4 linked regions of the Macaca fascicularis genome follow. The protein of the gene in region 4 purifies or fractionates together with the protein of the main gene of each other region. This does not show direct contact. Links are inferred from orthologs where the notes say so. Each region holds a gene or a part of one and is shown on either strand. Other genes may lie near its edges.

What was found. The genes of interacting proteins can lie anywhere in the genome.
Region 1: the proteins of SF3B2 (region 4) and SNRPA1 purify together in Homo sapiens (affinity purification with mass spectrometry; 5 studies listed by BioGRID and IntAct, counting the BioPlex papers as one, with this or other methods). This does not show direct contact. The link is inferred for Macaca fascicularis from reciprocal best matches to the Homo sapiens genes SF3B2 and SNRPA1.
Region 2: the proteins of SF3B2 (region 4) and RBM17 purify together in Homo sapiens (co-immunoprecipitation; 4 studies listed by BioGRID and IntAct, counting the BioPlex papers as one, with this or other methods). This does not show direct contact. The link is inferred for Macaca fascicularis from reciprocal best matches to the Homo sapiens genes SF3B2 and RBM17.
Region 3: the proteins of SF3B2 (region 4) and PRPF8 purify together in Homo sapiens (affinity purification with mass spectrometry; 3 studies listed by BioGRID and IntAct, with this or other methods). This does not show direct contact. The link is inferred for Macaca fascicularis from reciprocal best matches to the Homo sapiens genes SF3B2 and PRPF8.

What each region holds. Positions count from the first base shown.
Region 1 is NC_088381.1:86,339,021-86,342,540, reverse strand, and holds part of SNRPA1 (U2 small nuclear ribonucleoprotein A'), read left to right. Parts: intron 1-1,308; coding exon 1,309-1,355; intron 1,356-1,626; coding exon 1,627-1,729; intron 1,730-2,335; coding exon 2,336-2,415; intron 2,416-2,827; coding exon 2,828-2,903; intron 2,904-3,520. UniProt on the Homo sapiens protein: Involved in pre-mRNA splicing as component of the spliceosome. Associated with sn-RNP U2, where it contributes to the binding of stem loop IV of U2 snRNA.
Region 2 is NC_088383.1:7,062,529-7,064,937, reverse strand, and holds part of RBM17 (splicing factor 45), read right to left. Parts: intron 1,465-2,409; coding exon 1,391-1,464; intron 916-1,390; coding exon 817-915; intron 1-816. UniProt on the Homo sapiens protein: Splice factor that binds to the single-stranded 3'AG at the exon/intron border and promotes its utilization in the second catalytic step. Involved in the regulation of alternative splicing and the utilization of cryptic splice sites.
Region 3 is NC_088390.1:1,796,440-1,799,959, forward strand, and holds part of PRPF8 (pre-mRNA-processing-splicing factor 8), read right to left. Parts: coding exon 3,433-3,520; intron 2,641-3,432; coding exon 2,402-2,640; intron 2,167-2,401; coding exon 2,020-2,166; intron 1,841-2,019; coding exon 1,630-1,840; intron 1,433-1,629; coding exon 1,316-1,432; intron 1-1,315. UniProt on the Homo sapiens protein: Plays a role in pre-mRNA splicing as core component of precatalytic, catalytic and postcatalytic spliceosomal complexes, both of the predominant U2-type spliceosome and the minor U12-type spliceosome.
Region 4 is NC_088388.1:8,327,873-8,331,392, forward strand, and holds part of SF3B2 (splicing factor 3B subunit 2), read right to left. Parts: intron 2,524-3,520; coding exon 2,416-2,523; intron 2,126-2,415; coding exon 1,983-2,125; intron 1,898-1,982; coding exon 1,796-1,897; intron 1-1,795. UniProt on the Homo sapiens protein: Component of the 17S U2 SnRNP complex of the spliceosome, a large ribonucleoprotein complex that removes introns from transcribed pre-mRNAs.

The DNA of each region.
Region 1 (3,520 bases), on a different chromosome or scaffold from region 4:
GTGACCTTCAACATTTCAGCACCCTTCAGCTTGTTACATATTTATTCTTGAAACCCATCACTACATCACCATTATGTTTTACACTATGTATGTAACAAATGTTACCACTTTGTTCTTTATTCCTTTTTGGATCATCTTCAGTGGGGGTAAAACAGTATCAAGCTCTAGAGCTCCCTCTGGTGGTTTTTGTGACTTATTTGAAGATGCCAGCTTGCTTTTTGAGAATTTCTGGCTCTGCTCTCCCTGTTTTTATCTGTATTTTTTTCTCATTGTGACTCTTGCACACACACACACCCCTCCCCCGCCATCTACCCAATTTGCGTCTGTTCCAGAAGTTTCTCTTCAGGGCAGGGCCGTGTTGGGACATGATTTCTAATAAGAGGGAGGCCCACGGCCGGGCCTGGTGGTTCACACCTGTAATCCCAGCACTTTGGGAGGCCAAGGCGGGCAGATCACCAGGTCAGGAGATCGAGACCATCCTGGCTAACATGGTGAAATCCCCTTGTCAGACCTCTGAGCCCAAGCCAAGCCATTGCATCCCCTGTGACTTGCACATAGACACCCAGATGGCCTGAAGTAACTGAAGAATCAGTGCAAAAGAAGTGCAAATGCCCTGCCCCGCCTTAACTGATGACATTCCACCACAAAAGAAGTAAAAATGGCTGGTCCTTGCCTTAAGCGATGACATTATCTTGTGAAATTCCTTTTCCTGCCTCATCCTGGCTCAAAAAGCTCCCCCACTGAGCACCTTGTGACCCCTACTCCTGCCCGCCAGAAACAACCCCCCTTTGACTGTAATTTTCCTTTACCTACCCAAACCCTATAAAACGGCCCCACCCTTATCTCCCTCTGCTGACTGTCTTTTCAGACTCAGCCTGCCTGCACCCAGGTGATTAAAAAGCTTTATTGCTCACACAAAGCCTGTTTGGTGGTCTCTTCATGCATGACACCCGTCTCTACTAAAAATACAAAACAAAATTAGCCGGGCGTGGTGGCAGGCTCCTGTAGTCCCAGCTACTCAGGGGGCTGAGGCAGGAGAATGGTGTGAACCCGGGAGGCAGAGCTTGCAGTGAGCCGAGATTGTGCCACTGCACTCCAGCCTGGGCGATAGACCAAGACTCCGTCTCACAAAAAAGAAAAGAAAGAAATTATTTAAACATTTGTGATGTGCTAGTATTGGGCTTGGTGCTAGAGAGTAAAAGTTAAGTAAATAAATAAAAGACAACTTGCTTCAAAAGCACTCTCCCTTTCCAAATCTCAAAATAGCATGTAGTATTCGTGTTCTTACCTGTGGCCATTACTTTACAGGGTGATCTGGACCCTCTGGCATCTCTCAAATCACTGACTTACCTAAGGTATGGGAATTACATATTGTGACAAAATGAATGAAGTCCTTTAAAATAACATTACTTTTACCAGCCTTGACCTTAATGTAATCAGTTAATTAAAAGTGCCTTTTACAAAGAAATATTGAATATATTTCCTTAATGGTAAATTGTTACAATGTTGAAATGTGAAGAATTGTGAATGTTCCCTTGATTTATAGGTTCCTTAGACTATTCAAACAGACCTTTTGAGTGCTGTGCCATGAACAAGTTTGCCATTGTGTTACTTTTTTTCTTGTAGTATTCTAAGAAATCCGGTAACCAATAAGAAGCATTACAGATTGTATGTGATTTATAAAGTTCCGCAAGTCAGAGTACTGGATTTCCAGAAAGTGAAACTAAAAGTAAGTCGTAATCTGTTGCTTGTGAGTCATTATAGAGTTGTGTGTTTTTCTTTATATTTTTATCACTGATTATTAAAATTGTCTAAATAAGTAAATTTTACCATTAGTTTGTAATGAAAGTGGGGGGGAAATGTTACGTCAAATTTTTTTCTAATAGCAGAGTTTATGATAGAACTTTAAGTTAAAGCTCTTTTATGTAATGCTGGCCATTCCAAAGTTTGCAAAATGTTGAGGCCACAGTGAACACTCTGGATTGTCTGCTTAGATACATTCCTAGTGGAGAACTTAATGTAACCCACTTTTGTGCAGCTCTGTTTGTTAGGAAGGTTTTTCCCTTTATTAGGAGTTCATTATTTTATTATTTATATAATTGCCTTCTTAGTTCCCTGGGATCCCCTCCTTGGAACTAGGAGAGTGAACTTTCTTCAGGGAGCTTTACCAAAGAAAGAAGACCACTGTGTCTTCTCTTAATTTGAAATTGGCTTTTTGGTATTTTCACCAGCCTGGAGTATTGTAGGAGAGTTCGCTTCCATGTCTTCTGAGGAATGCATCTAAATGCATGTGGTATTCCTATTTCCATTAACTCTGTGTGTGGTGTCGCTGTAGGAGCGTCAGGAAGCAGAGAAAATGTTCAAGGGCAAACGGGGTGCACAGCTTGCAAAGGATATTGCCAGGAGAAGCAAAACGTAAGACACGGATATCCAACTTAACTCTACTTCACCTTCAGAAACATGATCTGATCTGTCTGGCAGTTCGTCTCCTACAAAATTAACCAAAAACTCTGACATATTAATGTGGTATTAAATTTGAGTGCTTATAGTCCATGTACATCAATGGTCCATACATCACAAGAAATTTCTACCAGGTTAGCAGAGCAAATATTTCAGTAGTCAGTCTCAATGTGATACCATGTACATCCTATTTTCCATATAGAAAGATGAACTGGATGGTGTTTCTGAAGGAGAGAGTTCTTGTATCAGTTTGTTAACAAAGATAAGATACTACACTGGTTGAATTACTTTCAAAAGCTTTTGAAAGTAAAAGAGAAGCAACTTCTGTTGGTCTAGGTTTAACAGTTATGTTCTTCCCCCTCTTAAGTTTTAATCCAGGTGCTGGTTTGCCAACTGACAAAAAGAAAGGTGGGCCATCTCCAGGGGATGTAGAAGCAATCAAGGTAATCATGTGTTAGGCTTCTTGACTGGAACGAGCTAAGATGGGTTCAGAACACAAAGTTGGATAATAAACATGTTCTGAACATTGCAGATTTTTTTTTCCCACAGTTATTAGCATATAACAATATTTCTGTTTAAGGAAAAACTAGCATAAAGTTATTATTTGATCAGACTTAAAATTACACAAGCTGATTAATGTAGAGGCAGCTTTGTCTTTCTCATTTTCCAGGGTGCATTTATCACTTTGAACAGTTAGTTACCTTGGTATGCTGTCTCAGTGTTTGCCTTAATTTTTACTTTCAAAGATTTGCTGTCTGGCAAATCCTTTTGGCTGATCAGTAGGGACCCTAGTTTTATAATATTGCCTCCTTAAATTATTCAGTAATTTAATTCCAAATAGTTACTTCACTTAACTATGATTTTAGGACATGTGGAGTGATTATTTACTCTTTTATAAGAAGGCCTGCATCTCTTCACCAATTTTAGAAATTTGTGTTTTGGCTTCTAGTTTTATTTTTGTGGGCCAATAACATTCTTCCCCCAACACCGAAGTGTTTAATATTCCAAATGGAGAAGTTGCTGTGAATTTCTGTAGGTGATTGATACTTAGTTTTCTGGG
Region 2 (2,409 bases), on a different chromosome or scaffold from region 4:
AAACAGCAACAGGATAAAGAAACAGAGTAAGCAGAGTTTTAAGATTAAAAAGGTTGGTACTCCTAGTGGCCTTTCACATCAGGTCTCATTTTGACTAGGTCTGTCTAGCTTTCCTAGCCCACTGTAATGTGGTCCATTCCACCCACCTAAGCACTTCTGCTAATCTCCAGTGGGCCCATCCATTCCATTTTGGTAGTCCTGATCTTCACTGTCTCCTAGGAGCCATTATCCCAATCAGAATACCCTTCCCTGCAAATCTCACCTCTTCCTTTCAAAGCGCAGTCCACATCTGCTATTGCTCACAAGGCAGTCTCTATGTTTTCACTGATCTAATTCTTGTCTCAACTCCTGAACTTAGTCAATACTACCCAGTCTAGTAACTGAATACCCTTTAGTTATTTTTGTGTTTCTTCAACTGAACACACCACTGAGTACAGAGCATGCTTCCTGTAATCCAAGTGCTCTCCGTACAGTGCAGTGCATGTGAAAGGCACTAAATACTCACCAAATGACTGAAACCAAAGGCACGTCTAAGGAACTAAACTACTGAGCACACTAGTTCAAGGTCTTCAGTCACCATACTGATTCTCAATCATGAAACATTCCTGTTTCTTCACCAAATAAAACTCCAAGTCATTCTTGTCTTTATGTTTAAAACTGTAATAATTGAGCAAGAGAAGCCCAAATAAACAATGCCTGTCACCTTCTGCAGTAAGAATATGTTACTTGTAGCATACCCTGTCCTGTATGTAGAAAATGTTTTGTAATCTGCCAATAACAACTTGTGTTATAAACATCAAAAGAAAACACTCTTACTTCAAATATCACACATTTTCCAACTTTGCCATATTTTTCACATTCTTCCTTGGTTTCAACTTCCAAGTCTTCATCCACCTCTCCCGCACCAACCATGTTCTTTAAACACAAAAATAAATAAATTCAAGTACCAAGTATAACTTACAAACACCTAGCAGGGATATATAAATATGACTTACTTTAGTGATGGTAAATGTTCTCAATCCCAAATGACACAATGAAAAATTTCATCCCCAAAGTACCCAAAAGTTAGTATTTCTTAAAACACTAAAACATACATTAAGCCTGTAAAGAGTTACAAAAGCACCTATGTAAGCACCAAAATGTATAAACTAGCTGAAGCTCTTGCAATTTCAAATATTGAAAGTAATTACTCACTGCAGTCTTAAACACTGTACTTAGCAGAGACTTACACATTAGTGAAAAATCTAAAATCAGCCTTACGTGGGATCTGCCCAAAGTATTATTTGCAAAAGGATCATTTTCAGTTTTAACTTTTAGGGGGAGCAGGGTAGGTTGGGGTGACACACACAAATCTAGGCAGGCCGACAGCTTGCTTTCCTCAGCTTCTTACCCTTAGTAGGACCACTTTAGTAGGACACTTAAGTATTTCAGTCAGTGGATTTGAATCTGACTTCTTGGATGCATCTGTATCAAAACATATCATTAGATGTGTTACAGAACTGAGTCCTACTTATAATAATTTAATTTAATTTCAATAGCGATCCCCACCATTTATGTCCTAAGCATCTACACAATTGGTCTTTAAGCAAAAACACAGCCTTATCTGCAACAAAAGCCTCTGCTTTGCTTTGGCATGTTTTTACAATAGCATCTGGATGTTTTGAGCCTCCATCATTACCTGCAATTTTTGCTCATCTCACTTCCCCAAGGGCTGACAGGGCATGTGAGTGATAATTCCTATAGGTGAGTTGACTGGTAGCAAACGTTCAAAGTCACGGGCCCAGGGGAATATGCAGTTACTATTCCAGCCACCGGCTGCCTTACTTCAGATAACCTCACAAGTCGGGACGACTGCTGGTTTCCGGCACTCACCTGTCGGGCTCGTGATGTATCCTAAGCTCTGCAAGAACAGGGCTGCCAGAAAAGTTTTCTTCTTTCTTTAGCAAAGGAAGTTCAGCTAGGCTGACTCAAACTTAATTTCCCTGATTAAAATGCTAATATATGTTTCTTTCCTGAATTCCCTCAATACAGAACAGACTGTAAAAATTAAATGAAAATAAAACACCAACTAGGCATCATTTACCAAGAGACTGCAAAATAACATTAGATCTCGCAAAGCAAACAATCTGTAAGAGAATTAGAAACCACATCTATACTGAAAGGGCAAGAGGGAAAAGTAGAGAAGACCTCTGAGATGGAGATGGCAGGTATATTCACTGCCACACTATATGGCTCTGTCCTTCATGCTCTAAACACATAACCAAGATTTCTTCCTGAGAACTATTCATTTTCTGCCCAAGTCTCTCACCATCTTTTCCTCCACGAGCCTTCATCTCTCTACCTCTGTTCTGAAAAAATAAAGATGAGCCTCAGGATTCCTGGCTTCACAAAACAGAAGTGGCAGTGCAT
Region 3 (3,520 bases), on a different chromosome or scaffold from region 4:
CATTTCTGGTCCTAAGAATTTTGGATAAAGGAAACTCAACCATAATGCAATAGTTCTAAAACATAATAGAACGTATCCTTAACAGAAGACTTACTAAAAAACAGAAAACATTCTGTGCATGTAAATGCTATACATTTTGAGATGTGAACGTTCAAATACAAGAAAAATGTTATAGTTAACAGTTACTCTAGGCCGGGCGCGGTGGCTCAAGCCTGTAATCCCAGCACTTTGGGAGGCCGAGACGGGCGGATCACGAGGTCAGGAGATCGAGACCATCCTGGCTAACACGGTGAAACCCCGTCTCTACTAAAAAATACAAAAAACTAGCCGGGCGAGGTGGCGGGTGCCTGTAGTCCCAGCTACTCGGGAGGCTGAGGCAGGAGAATGGCGTAAACCCAGGAGGCGGAGCTTGCAGTGAGCTGAGATCCGGCCACTGCACTCCAGCCTGGGCGACAGAGCGAGACTCCGTCTCAAAAAAAAAACAGTTACTCTAATGGAAACCAGAGTGAGGTAACTTTTTTTTTTTCTTTGGAGATAGAGTTTTTGCTCTGTTGCCCAGGCTGGAATGCAATGGTAAGATCTCCGCTCACAGCAACCTCCACCTCCTGGATTCAAGCGATTCTCCTGCCTCAGCCTCCTAAGTAGCTGAGATTACAGGTACCTGCCACCAGGTCAGGCTAATTTTTGTATTTTTAGCAGAGCTAATTTTTGTATTTTCACGTCAGCCAGGCTGGTCTCAAACTCTTGACCTCAGGTGATCCACCAGCCTCGGCCTCCCAAAGTGCTGGGATTACAGGCATGAGCCACTGTGCCTGGCCAAGGTAACTTTTTAAATCTTGTGAAAACTTCAATATACATAGTTCGAAATTCCTCAGATTTTTCTTTCTCAATTCCAGTTGCCTTCAGCTGGGCCTCTAAAGGTAAGTGAAGGAGAAACAAACTCTGAGATGCCTAGGAGAGCTGCTTTTTCACAGGTTCTCTATGCCACTGGTTAACATAATTTAGACAAGCCCCTAAGAAAGTGCAAAAATAATGTTCTTCTGTTCAAAATAATAAATCCAACTTTTACTGTTGCCTTAATTTAGAATCATCACAACTCCGTTAAGAAGGAGACTGCAGAATTCCTACAAGGAATTCTCAGAAAATAACTATAAAGTGACCTGACACTGTAAGCCGCTACTGCACAGAGCATGGAAACTGGCACACTAAGCAAAGTGGAGAAGGAAGGAGAAGCCATCAGGGGAAGTGAAAGGGATGTGAGATGAGCAGAGGACAGCAGAGGACAAGAGGGAAGCTGGGGATGACGGCCTTGTACCTTGGTGAAGGTGGTGGAGCCAGAGGCCATGAGAATTTGACGCACACGGTTGTGGAAGCGCTGCATTGACTCATCATCCACACGCAGGAAACACTGAGCTGTGCGCTCCTTAGTAACCTAAACCACAAAGTCAAGGTTACTTTGTCTGAGGAACTCCCATAGAAGCAAGAGCCAACTGTGTTCACCACTAAGCCTTTCCACCCAACAAGGCTCCGGTGACTGACAAGGACAAGGGATGCCCGTGGTTCCTGGCTCCCACTCACCCAGCAAGTGCAGGCGCACTCATGTCACTCCCAGCCCCTCCCAGGCTGTACCTCATTCTGCAGGTTCCAGACCCCGTCCTTGTGGGTGAACTCCTCATAGCTGGTGCGACACTTAGGCAGGATGCGGCACTCGAAGCCACACATGTTGAATAGCAGGTTGGGGTTGTCCTTACTGTACACAGACACGAAGCTGTTCTCCCACTGAACTGTAGTCACTGACCGTGGCAAGCGGTTCTTGATGTCCCAGAATACTGCCCGGCCTCTGCCCACAGAGAACCATATGGTCACATCAGTTTCTTGGAAGGAACTTCCCTTCAAAGGCCAACTGATGATATCCTGCCACAGCCACACGTCTCCCACCCAGGACACAGCCTCAGGTATGCCCTCTCTGGGCCCTTAGCCTATGTCCTTCCAGCTCACACAGCCCCAACCTGGACTCACAAGTTAACATCATGTTTCATGAGGCGCATGCGGGCATCTCGGGGCCAGCACTTCTTGTTATTATAGCCAACGATGTTTTCATTGTTGGGGTCAGGGTGCTCTGTCAGGTAACGTTGAATCAGGTCCCGAGCTTCATCTGCTGTGAACCTACACCAGACCAAGTACACTGCTGAGGCCCTAATACACTTGAGATCTGGGACCCCAAGGGTCCTCCAGCTCCACAGACGGAGACCCCACCCCATCCTACCCCCACCCTCTCCGGGCTTCGTTCCATTTTAAAGCCCCAACAGCAGTTAAGCCAACTCAGCTACAATAGCTGATTTCAGAGGCAAAGCATATGCCTCAGTACCCTGCAAGGCTAGGAATCCAGGTAAGCCCTCACCTGAAAAAAATATGGATGCGATCAATGTATCTGCAGAAGAGACGGATGGGGTGGGCAGCCTCAGTGGCTATGTCCTGAAAACTGAGAAAGTCGTTTGGCATCTGAGGGGGCCCAGCCATCTCACTGGCTCGGTGCAATCCCAATACAAGCAAGTCCATCACCAGGCCATAATACTGCACGATGAACGAGGCAAACTGCAGGCCTCTGATAATCCCGTATGAATTCGTATGGTTCATGTCCTAGAAAGAAAGAACGACAATTTTTTTTTTTTTTTTTTTTTTTTTTTGACGCGGAGTCTTGCTCTGTGCCCCAGGCTGGAGTGCAGTGGTGCGATCTCGGCTCACTGCAAGCTCCGCTCCCCCGGGTTCACGCCATTCTCCTGCCTCAGCCTCCCGAGTAGCTGGGACTACAGGCGCCCGCCACCTCGCCCAGCTAATTTTCTTGTATTTTTAGTAGAGACGGGGTTTCACCGTGTTAGCCAGGATGGTCTCGATCTCCTGACCTCATGATCCGCCCGTCTCGGCCTCCCAAAGTGCTGGGATTACAGGCTTGAGCCACCGCGCCCGGCCAAGAACGACAATTCTTAACAACCTGAGCCATGTCCCAGGATTCTCCAGGGTCAACCTCTTTTGTTCTCCCCTTGGCAAATTCTATTCCCCCGGCTCCCCTCCAAGGTGGAGTTATGCTCAGTCCCTCAGGCTGGAGTGCAGTGGCGCAATCTCAGCTCACTGCAACCTCCGCCTCCTGGGTTCAAGTGATTCTCCCGCCTCAGTCTCCCGAGTAGCTGGGATTACAGGCACCCACCACACTCAACTAATTTTTGTATTTTTTTTAAGTAGAAACAGGGTTTCACCATGTTGGCCAGACTGGTCTCCACCTTCTGACCTTGTGATCCAACCGCCTCAGCCTCCCAAAGTGCTGGGATTACAGGCGTGAACCATTGCACTCGGCCTCCCCCGCAGCAAATTTTGAGTCAGTGGGCCAGACAACCATTCCACACACAACTTCGTGCTACTGTGCCTGAGACATACCTTATAGTTGATGACGACATTGTTCTTGGCTGTCATGTAGTCAGCTATGTTGTGGTCCACGATGAGGCGCAGCAGCCTATTGAGCAGG
Region 4 (3,520 bases):
AAGAGAAGGGAACAGAGAAAATATTTGGAGAAATCATGACCAAAATTTCCCCCAAATTAATAAAAACTAAAAACCCAGATCTAAGATGCTTTAAAAACCCCAAGCAAAGGAACACTCGGAAACTACACCTAGGCACATTGCAGTCAAATTGTTAGAACTAGCGATAAAATCTTAAAAACAGCCAAATAAAAATGACACATTATGTACACAGGAACAAACGTAAGAATGACAGCAGCTTTCTCACCAGAAACAATGCAAGAAAGAAGACAGACACTGGAGCAACATCTTAAAAGTACTGAAAGAAGGTTGATGTGGTGGCTAACGCCTATAATCCCAACACTCTGGGAGGCCAAGGCAGGTGGATCACTTGAAGCCAGGAGCTCGAGACCAGCCTGGGCAACATGGCAAAACCCCATCCCTACAAAAATATAAAAATTAGCTGGATGTGGTGGCATGCACACGTAATCCCAGCTACTCAGGAGGCTGAAGCAGAATCGCTTGAACCCAGGAGGTGGAGATTGCAGTGAGCCAAGATCACACCACTGCACTCCAGCCTGGGTGACATAGCGAGACTCCATTTCAAAAAGAAAAAAAAAAAGTATTGAAAGAAAAAAAATTGTCAACCTAGAATCCTATACCTGGCAACGATCTTTCAAAAATGAAGGCCAAATAAAGAATTTTTAAGACTACCCAAGCTGAACGAATTCAAAACCAGCAGACCCACAATATAAGAAATGTTTGTTTTGTAGAAATGGGGTCTCACTATGTTGCCCAGGCTGGTCTCAAAATTCCTGGACTCTAGCAATCTACCACCTCAGCCTTCTCCCAAAGTGCTGAGATGACAGGCGTAAGCCACCATGACCCCTAAAGAAACATTAAAGGAAGCCCTTCAGGCAGAGGAAAAATGATATCAGATAGAAACCTGTATCTACACAAAGAAATGAAAGAAACAAAAATGGTAACTACATGGCTTCATGCATGATTCTTATTGAAACCTCCCTAAAAGATAACTGACCATTTAAACAAAAATAATAACTATACAGTACAGGATTTATAACATGTAAATACATGATAACACAGTGCAAAGTTGGGCGGAGAGCGAAGTACACTATCGCGGCTCTTAATGCCATCTGGAAGCAGTGTGACATCAAGAGAAGCTAGATCCTGATATAGACATGATCTACGATAAACCCCAGAGCACCCACTAAAATAACAAAGCAAAAACTTAACAGCTAATTAACCAACACTGGAGATAAAATGGAATCATAGAAATTGTTCAAGTAATCCAAAAGAAGGTATAAAAACAGGAAAAAGGGAACAAAGAGCAGAATGGATAAAGAGAGGGTCATTTCATGATAAAGGGGTCAATTCATGAAGACCTAACAACACCACACATTCAAGTACCTAAAAATGGAGCTTCAAAATACTAGCGCATCCCTGTGTCAGGGCCTTTGCACTTGCTTGCACTTACTGTTACTTCTGATCCAGATGATCCTGTGGCTGGCGCTTTTCCATTCGCGTCTCAGTTCAAGCACCACCTCCCCAATGAGGCCTTCCCAAAGGCCTCCCTGCCCCCCCATCCCATTACCCAGTTTCCTCTGCTTGAGCATCCTTATCTACATCTGAAAGTATCTTGTTCTCTGATTACCAGTTTACCTCAACTGCTGACTCCTCCCTGCCTGGAGTATCGCCTGGCAGAGTTGGTTCAATAATTTTTTAAAAAGGGATGGGGGAGAAAGGAACAACAGTCAGCCAGTCAGCCAACGGGAAGTGAAGCCCTGTCTGGCACCCTCACCCATCCATCGCCTCCTCGATCTTCTTCTTCCTCAGCTCAATGAGTTCAGGGGTCTCCATTCCAGCAGGCACTGATGAGAAGCCTCCAGGAGTGATGAGGCCACTGTGAAGAGAGGAACAAGCTCTGGAGTAAAGAGAAGGCCCCCAAAGATAAGCCATTTCCAAGAGGCACTCTCTGCTTCCCCCACCTGTCTGCAGGGGTAATAAAGCCTGTCTCATCTGGTTTGTCTTCATCACTTTCTTCCTCTTCCTCTTCTTCTGAGGATTCTTCATCAGATGGTTCCAGTTCCCCCCAAGGGGTCCGATCAATCTCTTCCTCCTCAGTCTTGGTCTGAAAGAAATCACTTAATCAGTCAACAAATGTTTTCTAAGTACCTGTTATGTACCAGGCTGTTTTAAGCTGAAGGGGTGTTAAGAGTCAACACACAGACAATAATCCCTACCTACCTAGAGCTCAAATTCCAGTGAGGGGCTTGCGTTAACATCTCGGGAAAATGTTTGCCCTTTTCCAGGCTCTGCTGTGTCAGAACACGCAACTCCCTGATAATGAAGCTATAAACCAACAATCTCTAACCTTCATGATGTTAAGTAAAACCAAGATCGCCAGTACATAGCCCATACCTGAAATTCAGCAGCATTGGTTCCAAACACATCCCCATAGAGCGGTTTCCCAGTCTCATCCACCGGAGGTTTGCCCCAGCCACCAGCATGGTACCCAAAGGAACAGCTCTGCAAGGCAGTGAGCACAATCAGTTCACTCCTTAGCTGCAAAAGAAATTCTGAAGCCCTAGAGAAAAGGCACACTCAAAAGTACAGAGCTGACACTTGGGAACTCCGGAAATTATGACTGCAGAATAAAATTAAATGTTATGAAGCATTAGAAACCAAAATTAATAAACAACTAAAATCTGGAGGCAACAGGATAAGGAGACAGGAGGCAGAAAGTATGCTAATAACCTCTTCTGTCATGGCAGAGTCTCTGCTGTCTGAAACCAAAATACGTACGTTGAAAACATGACTTCAATTTCTTACTGAGTTTTCCTAACTTTGGAAGGCTAGCTTGTTCAGAATCTATTTATCTTAAGGGGCGGAAGTTTCTATCTAAAGTTTAACAATACTACTTTTTTACTTTAATGACTCTTATCTGTCAATTTTTTTAATGATTACTTTAAAATAAGAATAAATTTGAAGACATTCTTGAGATAAAATTATTTCTGATAGATTGAAGTGAAACTAAAAAAAAAAAATTATTTCTTTTCTTTTTTTTTTTTTTAAAGTAGAGATGCGGTTTCACTATGTTGCCCAGGCTAGTCTTAAACTCCTGGCCCCAAGGGATCCTCCCACCTCAGCCTCCCAAAGTGCTGGGATTACAGGTGTTGAGACACCACATCTGGCTAAGATAAAATTATTTCTCTCTGGCCATTCTTATATTCAGAGACATATCTGGAAACACATTCACCAAATAGTGAATTTGGCTATTTCTGAGTGGTAAAATTGTGACTTGCTTTCATCTTTGTACTTGTCAATTCTGACTGAATATTTTATGATGAGCATGTCAGTTTTTTAAAAAACAAAAACCATTTACTTGTTTTTTCCACACATACCCATGGTATATGACAAATATTATGTGTCAATAAAAATTTTTTTAAATAAAGAAACACATGGTGGAGTTAGAGAAGGAAAACAAAAAAATCACCTTCCAGTTCAAAAGCAGAAACAGCCAAGA